Macaca mulatta: one gene and its partner. The protein of the gene in region 1 purifies or fractionates together with the protein of each later gene. This does not show direct contact. Links are inferred from orthologs where the notes say so. Each region holds a gene or a part of one and is shown in the gene's direction. Other genes may lie near its edges.

Region 1 (3,520 bases):
TCCACTGTGAGACTCCTCTGATGAGTTATCTTTGCTCCACGGCTCCCCATTGGGTGGGTCAAGATTTTGTCCAATCTGCATTGTGGTCTAGGCTATCCTGGCCTAATCCTGCTTTCTCCTCCTTTTTGTCTTTCACAGAAATTACTCCCCCCAGGCCGGGCGCGGTGGCTCAAGCCTGTAATCCCAGCACTTTGGGAGGCCGAGACGGGTGGATCACAAGGTCAGGAGATCGAGACCATCCTGGCTAACACGGTGAAACCCCGTCTCTACTAAAAAATACAAAAACTAGCCGGGCGAGGTGGCGGACGCCTGTAGTCCCAGCTACTCGGGAGGCTGAGGCAGGAGAATGGCGTGAACCCGGGAGGCGGAGCTTGCAGTGAGCTGAGATCCGGACACTGCACTCCAGTCTGGGCGACACAGGGAGACTCTGTCTCAACCAAAAAAAAAAAAAAAGATTTAAAAAAAAAGAAATTACTCCCCCCAATAAATTATGCTCCTAACTCTGTCTTTTTTTTTTTTTTTTGAGATGGAATCACTCTGTCACCCAGGCTGGAGTGCAGTGGCACGATTTCGGCTCTCTGCAAACTCTACCTCCCGAGTTCACGCCATTCTCCTGCCTCAGCCTCCTGAGTAGCTGGGACTACAGGTGCCCGCCACCACGCCCGGCTAATATTGTGTATTTTTTAGTAGACACAGGGTTTCACCATGTTAGCCAGGATAGTCTCGATCTGCTGACCTCATAATCCACCCACCTCGGCCTCCCAAAGTGCTGGGATTACAGGCGTGAGCCACCGCGCCTAGCCCTCATATACCCTGGAGCTCACTTATAATAAGGTAGTTAAGAGAAAAAGGGCCTGGGAAGGCTTTCATCAGAAAGGTCACATGACCACTCCAGGTGGTGTTGCCTTACAGAAGTTAAGCAAAAGAGAGTTTCAGAAAGGCAGTCATGGTGTCAACTTACTGATTGATAACTGCCAGGATTGCTGTTTCATTAAAGTAGTAGGAATGGAAATCTGGTCACAAGGTAAAGATGGGTAATGGGGAAATATAAGTATGGAGTATGGAACATGCATTTGAAAGGCTGGTAGCAGCCGGGTTCAGTGGCTCACACCTGTAATTCCAGCACTTTGGGAGGCTGAGGCAGGTGGATCACAAAGTCAAGAGTTTGAGACCAGCCTGGCCAACGTGGTGAAACCCGTCTCTACTAAAAACACAAAAATTAGCTGGGCTTGGTGGTGCACGCCTGTGATCCCAGCTTCTTGTGGGGCTGAGGCAGGAGAATCGCTTGAACCCAGGACATGGAGGTTGCAGTGAGCTGAGATCACTCTGCTGCACTCCAGCCTGGGCAACAGAGCAAGACTCCGTCAAAAAAAAAAAAAATCTGGTAGGAAAAAGAAGGGGAGAAACAGGAGGGTATTGGGGAAGATAAAGAAGCATACTTATGGCCAGGCGCGGTGGCTCAAGCCTGTAATCCCAGCACTTTGGGAGGCTGAGACGGGCGGATCATGAGGTCAGGAGATCGAGACCATCCTGCCTAACCCGGTGAAACCCCGTCTCTACTAAAAAATACAAAAAACTAGCCAGGCGAGGTGGCGGGTGCCTGTAGTCCCAGCTACTCGGGAGGCTGAGGCAGGAGAATGGCGTAAACCCGGGAGGCGGAGCTTGCAGTGAGCTGAGATCCGGCCACTGCACTCCAGCCTGGGGGACAGAGCGAGACTCCGTCTCAAAAAAAAAAAAAAAAAAAAAAAAAGAAGCAGCTTACTTATTTGAAGGAGCACAGGGAAAAAGGAAGAGATTAAAAACAGCAAAAAAATAGAGGCTGTTTATTGCAGTACATAGTGTGGGGGTAAACGAAGGGATCCTCACACACATAGCCCCCTTGGAGGATGGAGAGTGAGGTCTTCTGCTAACCAAGAGAGAATAAATGAATACCATTCTGATGTGTTCACCTTATTCCAGCCATGGTCAAAAGGTAACGAGGAATAAATGCTTAAATAACTGGTTAGAAGGATGCCCAAGATATACTAAGTGTCAGAAGCAAGTCTTTTATGCTAAAAAAAATAATAAAAACGTATGCAGGCATGAATGTACTAATACAAATACATATATTTAAATATATAGAGCACTGTTTTCCAAACTTTCTGCATATTTGAGCCACCTGGGGATCTTTAAAATGTACTGATACCTGCCTTCCTTTGATTTAATTGGTATCAGGTGCATCAGAATTAAAAAAAAAAAACTCCCCGGGTGATTCTAATATGCAGCAAAGTTTGGGAACCACTGGCATAGGAAAAGCTCTGTTAACAGTGGTTACCTGTTCTCAGGAGAATTAATAAAGGTGGACTTTTGAGGTTTTGTGAGCATGTGTTACTTTAGTGAGTTTTACTCAAACAATACAAAAAAGCGGGGAAAAACAAGGTAATTGGAGAACAGTAGTAGCTTCCTAGTGAAAAATCAAGGCCAAATCATCAGAAGTCCAACTTTCTGTGTATTTCATTTCTGTGATCTTGCAACTTTTACATTGAAAAATCCACCTAAGGTCGGGCACAGTGGTTCATGCCTGTAATCCCAGCCCTTTGGGAGGCCAAGCTGGGCAGATCACTTTAGCTTAGGAGTTGAAGACCAGCCTGGGCAACATGGCAAAACCCTGTCTCCACTAAAAATATAAGAATTAGCCAAGCATGGTGGTGCGTGCCTGTAGTCCCAGCTACTCGGGTGGCCAAAGCAGGAGAATCGCTTGAACCTGGGAAGTAGAGGTTGCAGTGAGCCAAGATTGTGCCAGTGCACTCCAGCCTGGGCAACAGAGCAGAGTCCGTCTCAAAAACAAAAAAGAAAAATCCACCTGAGCTTTTACTTTTCCCCTCAGATCTGTGTGCCAATGTCAGTGGAATTTGAGGAGCTCCTGAAGGCTCGAGAGAATCCGAGTGAAGAGGCACAAAGTAAGTAGAGGTGAAAATTTCATTCAGCACCAGCAAAAGTACAGGTTAATTACAGCTCAGATTTGCAGCCATGGCCTCAGATATATTTATAGCCAGGATTTCTTGCTGGTTTCGTCTTTGCTGGTTTCTGGGCTAGAGTGACATCCTAAATTGGTCTTGGGCGCACAATGTTCATTTTGTTCTCTCCTACCTCAAATTTACTGGCTTGGAAAGCCAAGGATTGTTCACTTTAGGTCACGATACTAAAATGAGTCAGCCCTTGTTACCTTGTAAGAGAACACTCACTTTTGATCTCACTTAACTTATTGGAGGTTATATTGTGAGCAAAGGGAGGACATTTGGGTGAAGTGCTGCCTCAGGAAACTAGGAACAAGCAGTCCATTTGAAAAGGTAAGTCCAAGAGAGTGGTGTGTATAAACTGAATCATTGATGTATCTGATTCCCTCAGACTTGGTGGAGTTCACAGATGAAGAGGGATATGGTCGTTATCTCGATCTCCATGACTGTTACCTGAAGTACATTAACCTGAAGGCATCTGAGGTAAGACCTGGGAACGGGCAGAGAGGTTCTGATTCTCGAAG
Region 2 (3,520 bases), on another chromosome or scaffold:
CTGAGGTTGGGACCTTAGAAAGACAGGGATCCATTCAGCTTCCTGGCAAAGGAGACATTTTGGAGAGCCTGCCAAGTAGAGGAAGCAGTATTTATGTTACATTGAGGGAGAAGAGTGTTATTAACTTGGGCCAGCTTGTGTAGATGTTTAGGGGTAAAAGAGCCTGGCACATTCTGGGTATTACAAGTAGTTTTGTGGGCCTGAGGCCTAGAGGCCTGTAAATCATGGAGAAGCTTCCAGCGAGCTGTGCACTGGTGGCTCCTGGCTATGAGGCTCGTGGCTATGAGGTGTCAGACTTTGCCCTGAGGGTGTTGGGGAGCCAGCTTGCTTCCCTGTCCTGGTTGCCTCCTCATCTATCCTTCCAGCGGTGGAGGGTAAATGCGAATGGGCAAGAGGAGGCTGGAGAGTAGAGAGAGGCCCAGAGTCCAGTGGAATGAGTGAAGTCTGAATGAGATTCATGGGGATGGAGTATGGAGAAGAAAACCAGAAATGTTACCCCCAGGAGAATTTTTGACTAATTGCTTAAAAACAAGTTTGACTGCTGTCCCTGCCCCCACCCAGCCTGCACACATTTTCTTGCTTCTTTCCTAGTCTAGTATCTATTTTACCAAGTGGCTTCTGCTTCAGCTCAACATATTTTTTTTGAGACGGACGTTCGATCTGTTGCCCAGGCTGGAGTGCAGCGGCATAATCTCCGCTCACTGCAACTTTTGCCTCCCTGGTTCAAGCTATTCTCCTGCCTCAGCCTCCCAAGTAGCTGGGATTACAGGCGCACTCCACCACAACTAGCTAATTTTTTCTTTCTTTCTTTTTTTTTTTTGGCCTTTTTAGTCGAGATGGAGTTTCACCGTCTTGGCCAGGCTGGTCTTGAACTCCTGACCTCAAGTGATCTGCCTCAGCCTCCCAAAGTGCTGGAATTACAGGCATGAGCCACCATGCCACGCCAGTTTTTATGAAAGTTGGAGTCCAGTGGCGGGATCTGCCTCCCAGGCTAGAGTGATCCTCCCACTTCAGCCTCCCAAGTAGCTGTGACAATAAGGCACGCGTCACCATGCGTGGCTAATTTTTGTATCTTTTGTAGAGACAGGGTTTCACCATATTGCCCAGGCTGGTCTTGAACTCTTGAGCGCAAAGGATCTGCCCACCTCGGCCTCCCAAAGTGCCGGGATTACAGGTGTGAGCCACCATGCTTGGCCATCTCAGCCATCTACTTTGCATAAGACATTGGTACCCTTTGCAGACCTGAGTGGTGAGAGGGAGTCCATCCTTGTTGACCTTGAATCCCACTTGCTGTCAAGTGATGCCCTTTGCTGGTGAGATGTGGTGGTACCGGATTCAGATGGAATTCGTGGACTGGGCTCTGCCATGCCCTCGTGCCCTCCAGATTGTTGTACTGGTCCAGTGAGGAATCCTCTGAGAACCTGTTTCCATTTGAGTAAAACTGGGACAGTCATAGTTGCCACTTAATGGGGTTGCTGTGAGGAAGTTACCTCTATAAAGCATTTGATGGGGGTGCGATGGCTCATGCCTGTAGTCCCAGCACTTTGGGAAGCCAAGGCAGGAGGATCACTGGAGCCCAGGAGTTCAAGACCAACCTGGGCAACATAGGAGATTGTATCTACAAAAAAATAAAAAATTAGCCATGCGTCGTGTTGCGTGCCTGTAGTCCCAGCTCCTTGGGAGGTTGAGGTGAGAAGATTGCTTGAGCCTAGGAGGTCGAGCCTGCAGTAAGCTATTATGCCACTGAACTCCAGCCTGAGCAACAGAAGGAGACCCTGTCTAAAAAAAGCACTTGATGGTATCTGTAGTCAAATGTTTGTAGCCAAGTGTGGTGGCACACTCCTGTAATCCCAGCACTTTGGGAGGCCAAGGTGGGCTAATTCCTTAAGCTCAGGAGTTCAAGACCAGCCTGGGCAACATAGCAAGACCCTGTCTCTGCACAAAATCCAGAAGTTAGCTGGGCATGGTGGCATATACCTGTGGTCCCAGCTACTCAGGAGGCTGAGGTGGGAGGATCGCTTGAGTCCGGGAGTTTGAGGCTACAGTGAATCATGATCATGCCACTGCACTCCAGCATGGGTGACAAAGTGAGACCTTGTTGCCAAATAAAAAAAAAAATATATGTGTGATGGAGTCTGTGCTAGGCATGGAGATACTGCAGTAAACAAATGGGACAGGCTTATTGCTCCTCAGGTAAGATAGACAAGTTAACGTACCATGACAGGAGGCGGGAAATAGTCATGAAAGAAAAGGAAGTAGAGTAAGAATGACATGGGAAGACATTTAGACATGGTGGTCAGAGGTGGCAACGTTTCCTCTGAGACTTGGGTGACTAGGAGGTGGCCGCCATGTAAACCTCAGGGGAGGGATGTTCCAGGTAAAGGGAGCAGCCAGTGCAAAGGCCCTGGGGCAGAATTGTTGTGTCAGACCTAGGGGCCAGTGTGGTTGGGGACTCAGGAGCATAGTGGAATGTGGGCAGGAATGAGTTGGGGGAAATCTGCCAGGGCCACGTCATGCAGGCCTGTGTCAGGGTGCTGGTGGCAATGAAAAGAATCACTCATATTTACTGAGCGTTTACTATGTACCGGATGCTGTCCTGAGCACTTTGCATGTATGTGCACATGTTCATTATATAGCAGCTCTCTGTAAGCACATCTTACAGAAGAGTGTACTTGGCTACTTGAGTGGTTCCTGGCCGCTTCTGTGATTGTTAGGTCTTGAGAGATTATGGACCCGAGGCATTCTGGGTAGCCCGTCAATTGGCTGATGGTCTTCTATCTGGGCTGCGCTTCTTCTAACAAGGGGAGCTCAGAGGTCTTTTCTTTCCCCACTGCAGAGCTAAAAAAGTCCCTGTACGCCATCTTCTCCCAGTTTGGCCAGATCCTGGATATCCTGGTATCACGGAGCCTAAAGATGAGGGGCCAGGCCTTTGTCATCTTCAAGGAGGTCAGCAGCGCCACCAACGCCCTGCGCTCCATGCAGGGTTTCCCCTTCTATGACAAGCCCATGGTGAGCATTGTGGGTACGGAGGCTGTGTGGGTGTGTGAAATGTTATAGGAGACTGGGCGGGCCTGGATTAGAGGAGAGGATATTAGGGTTCATTCACCAAGGTGAGACTGGACCAGGCTCCCACTGCACCTTGCCTCCTTTAAAAATTTTTTTGGCGTAGTGCGGTGGCTCATGCCTGTAATCCCAGCACTTTCGGAGGCCGAGGCAGGCAGTTTACCTGAGCTCAGGAGTTTGCGACTAGCCTGGGCAACACTGTGAAACCCCGTCTACTAAAATACAAAAATTAGCTGGGCGTGGCAGCATGCGCCTGTAGTCCCAGCTACTCGGGAGGCTGAGGAAGGAGAATTGCTTGAACCTGGGAGGCAGAGGTTGCAGTGAGCCGAGATCCTGCCACTGCTCTCCAGCCTGGGTGACAGAGTGAGACTGTCTCAAAATACGTATATATATGTATATTTGGCTGGACATGGTGGCTCATGCCTGTAATCCCAGCACTTTGGGAGGCTGAGGCCAG

The links. The genes of interacting proteins can lie anywhere in the genome.
Region 2: the proteins of SF3A3 (region 1) and SNRPA fractionate together in Homo sapiens (co-fractionation; 4 studies listed by BioGRID and IntAct, with this or other methods). This does not show direct contact. The link is inferred for Macaca mulatta from reciprocal best matches to the Homo sapiens genes SF3A3 and SNRPA.

Annotation. Positions count from the first base shown.
Region 1 is NC_133406.1:202,808,879-202,812,398, forward strand, and holds part of SF3A3 (splicing factor 3A subunit 3), read left to right. Parts: intron 1-2,866; coding exon 2,867-2,939; intron 2,940-3,387; coding exon 3,388-3,479; intron 3,480-3,520. UniProt on the Homo sapiens protein: Component of the 17S U2 SnRNP complex of the spliceosome, a large ribonucleoprotein complex that removes introns from transcribed pre-mRNAs.
Region 2 is NC_133424.1:51,874,362-51,877,881, forward strand, and holds part of SNRPA (U1 small nuclear ribonucleoprotein A), read left to right. Parts: intron 1-969; exon of another isoform or gene 970-1,088; intron 1,089-1,145; exon of another isoform or gene 1,146-1,636; intron 1,637-1,894; exon of another isoform or gene 1,895-2,766; coding exon of another isoform or gene 2,767-2,836; coding exon 2,837-3,009; intron 3,010-3,520. UniProt on the Homo sapiens protein: Component of the spliceosomal U1 snRNP, which is essential for recognition of the pre-mRNA 5' splice-site and the subsequent assembly of the spliceosome. U1 snRNP is the first snRNP to interact with pre-mRNA.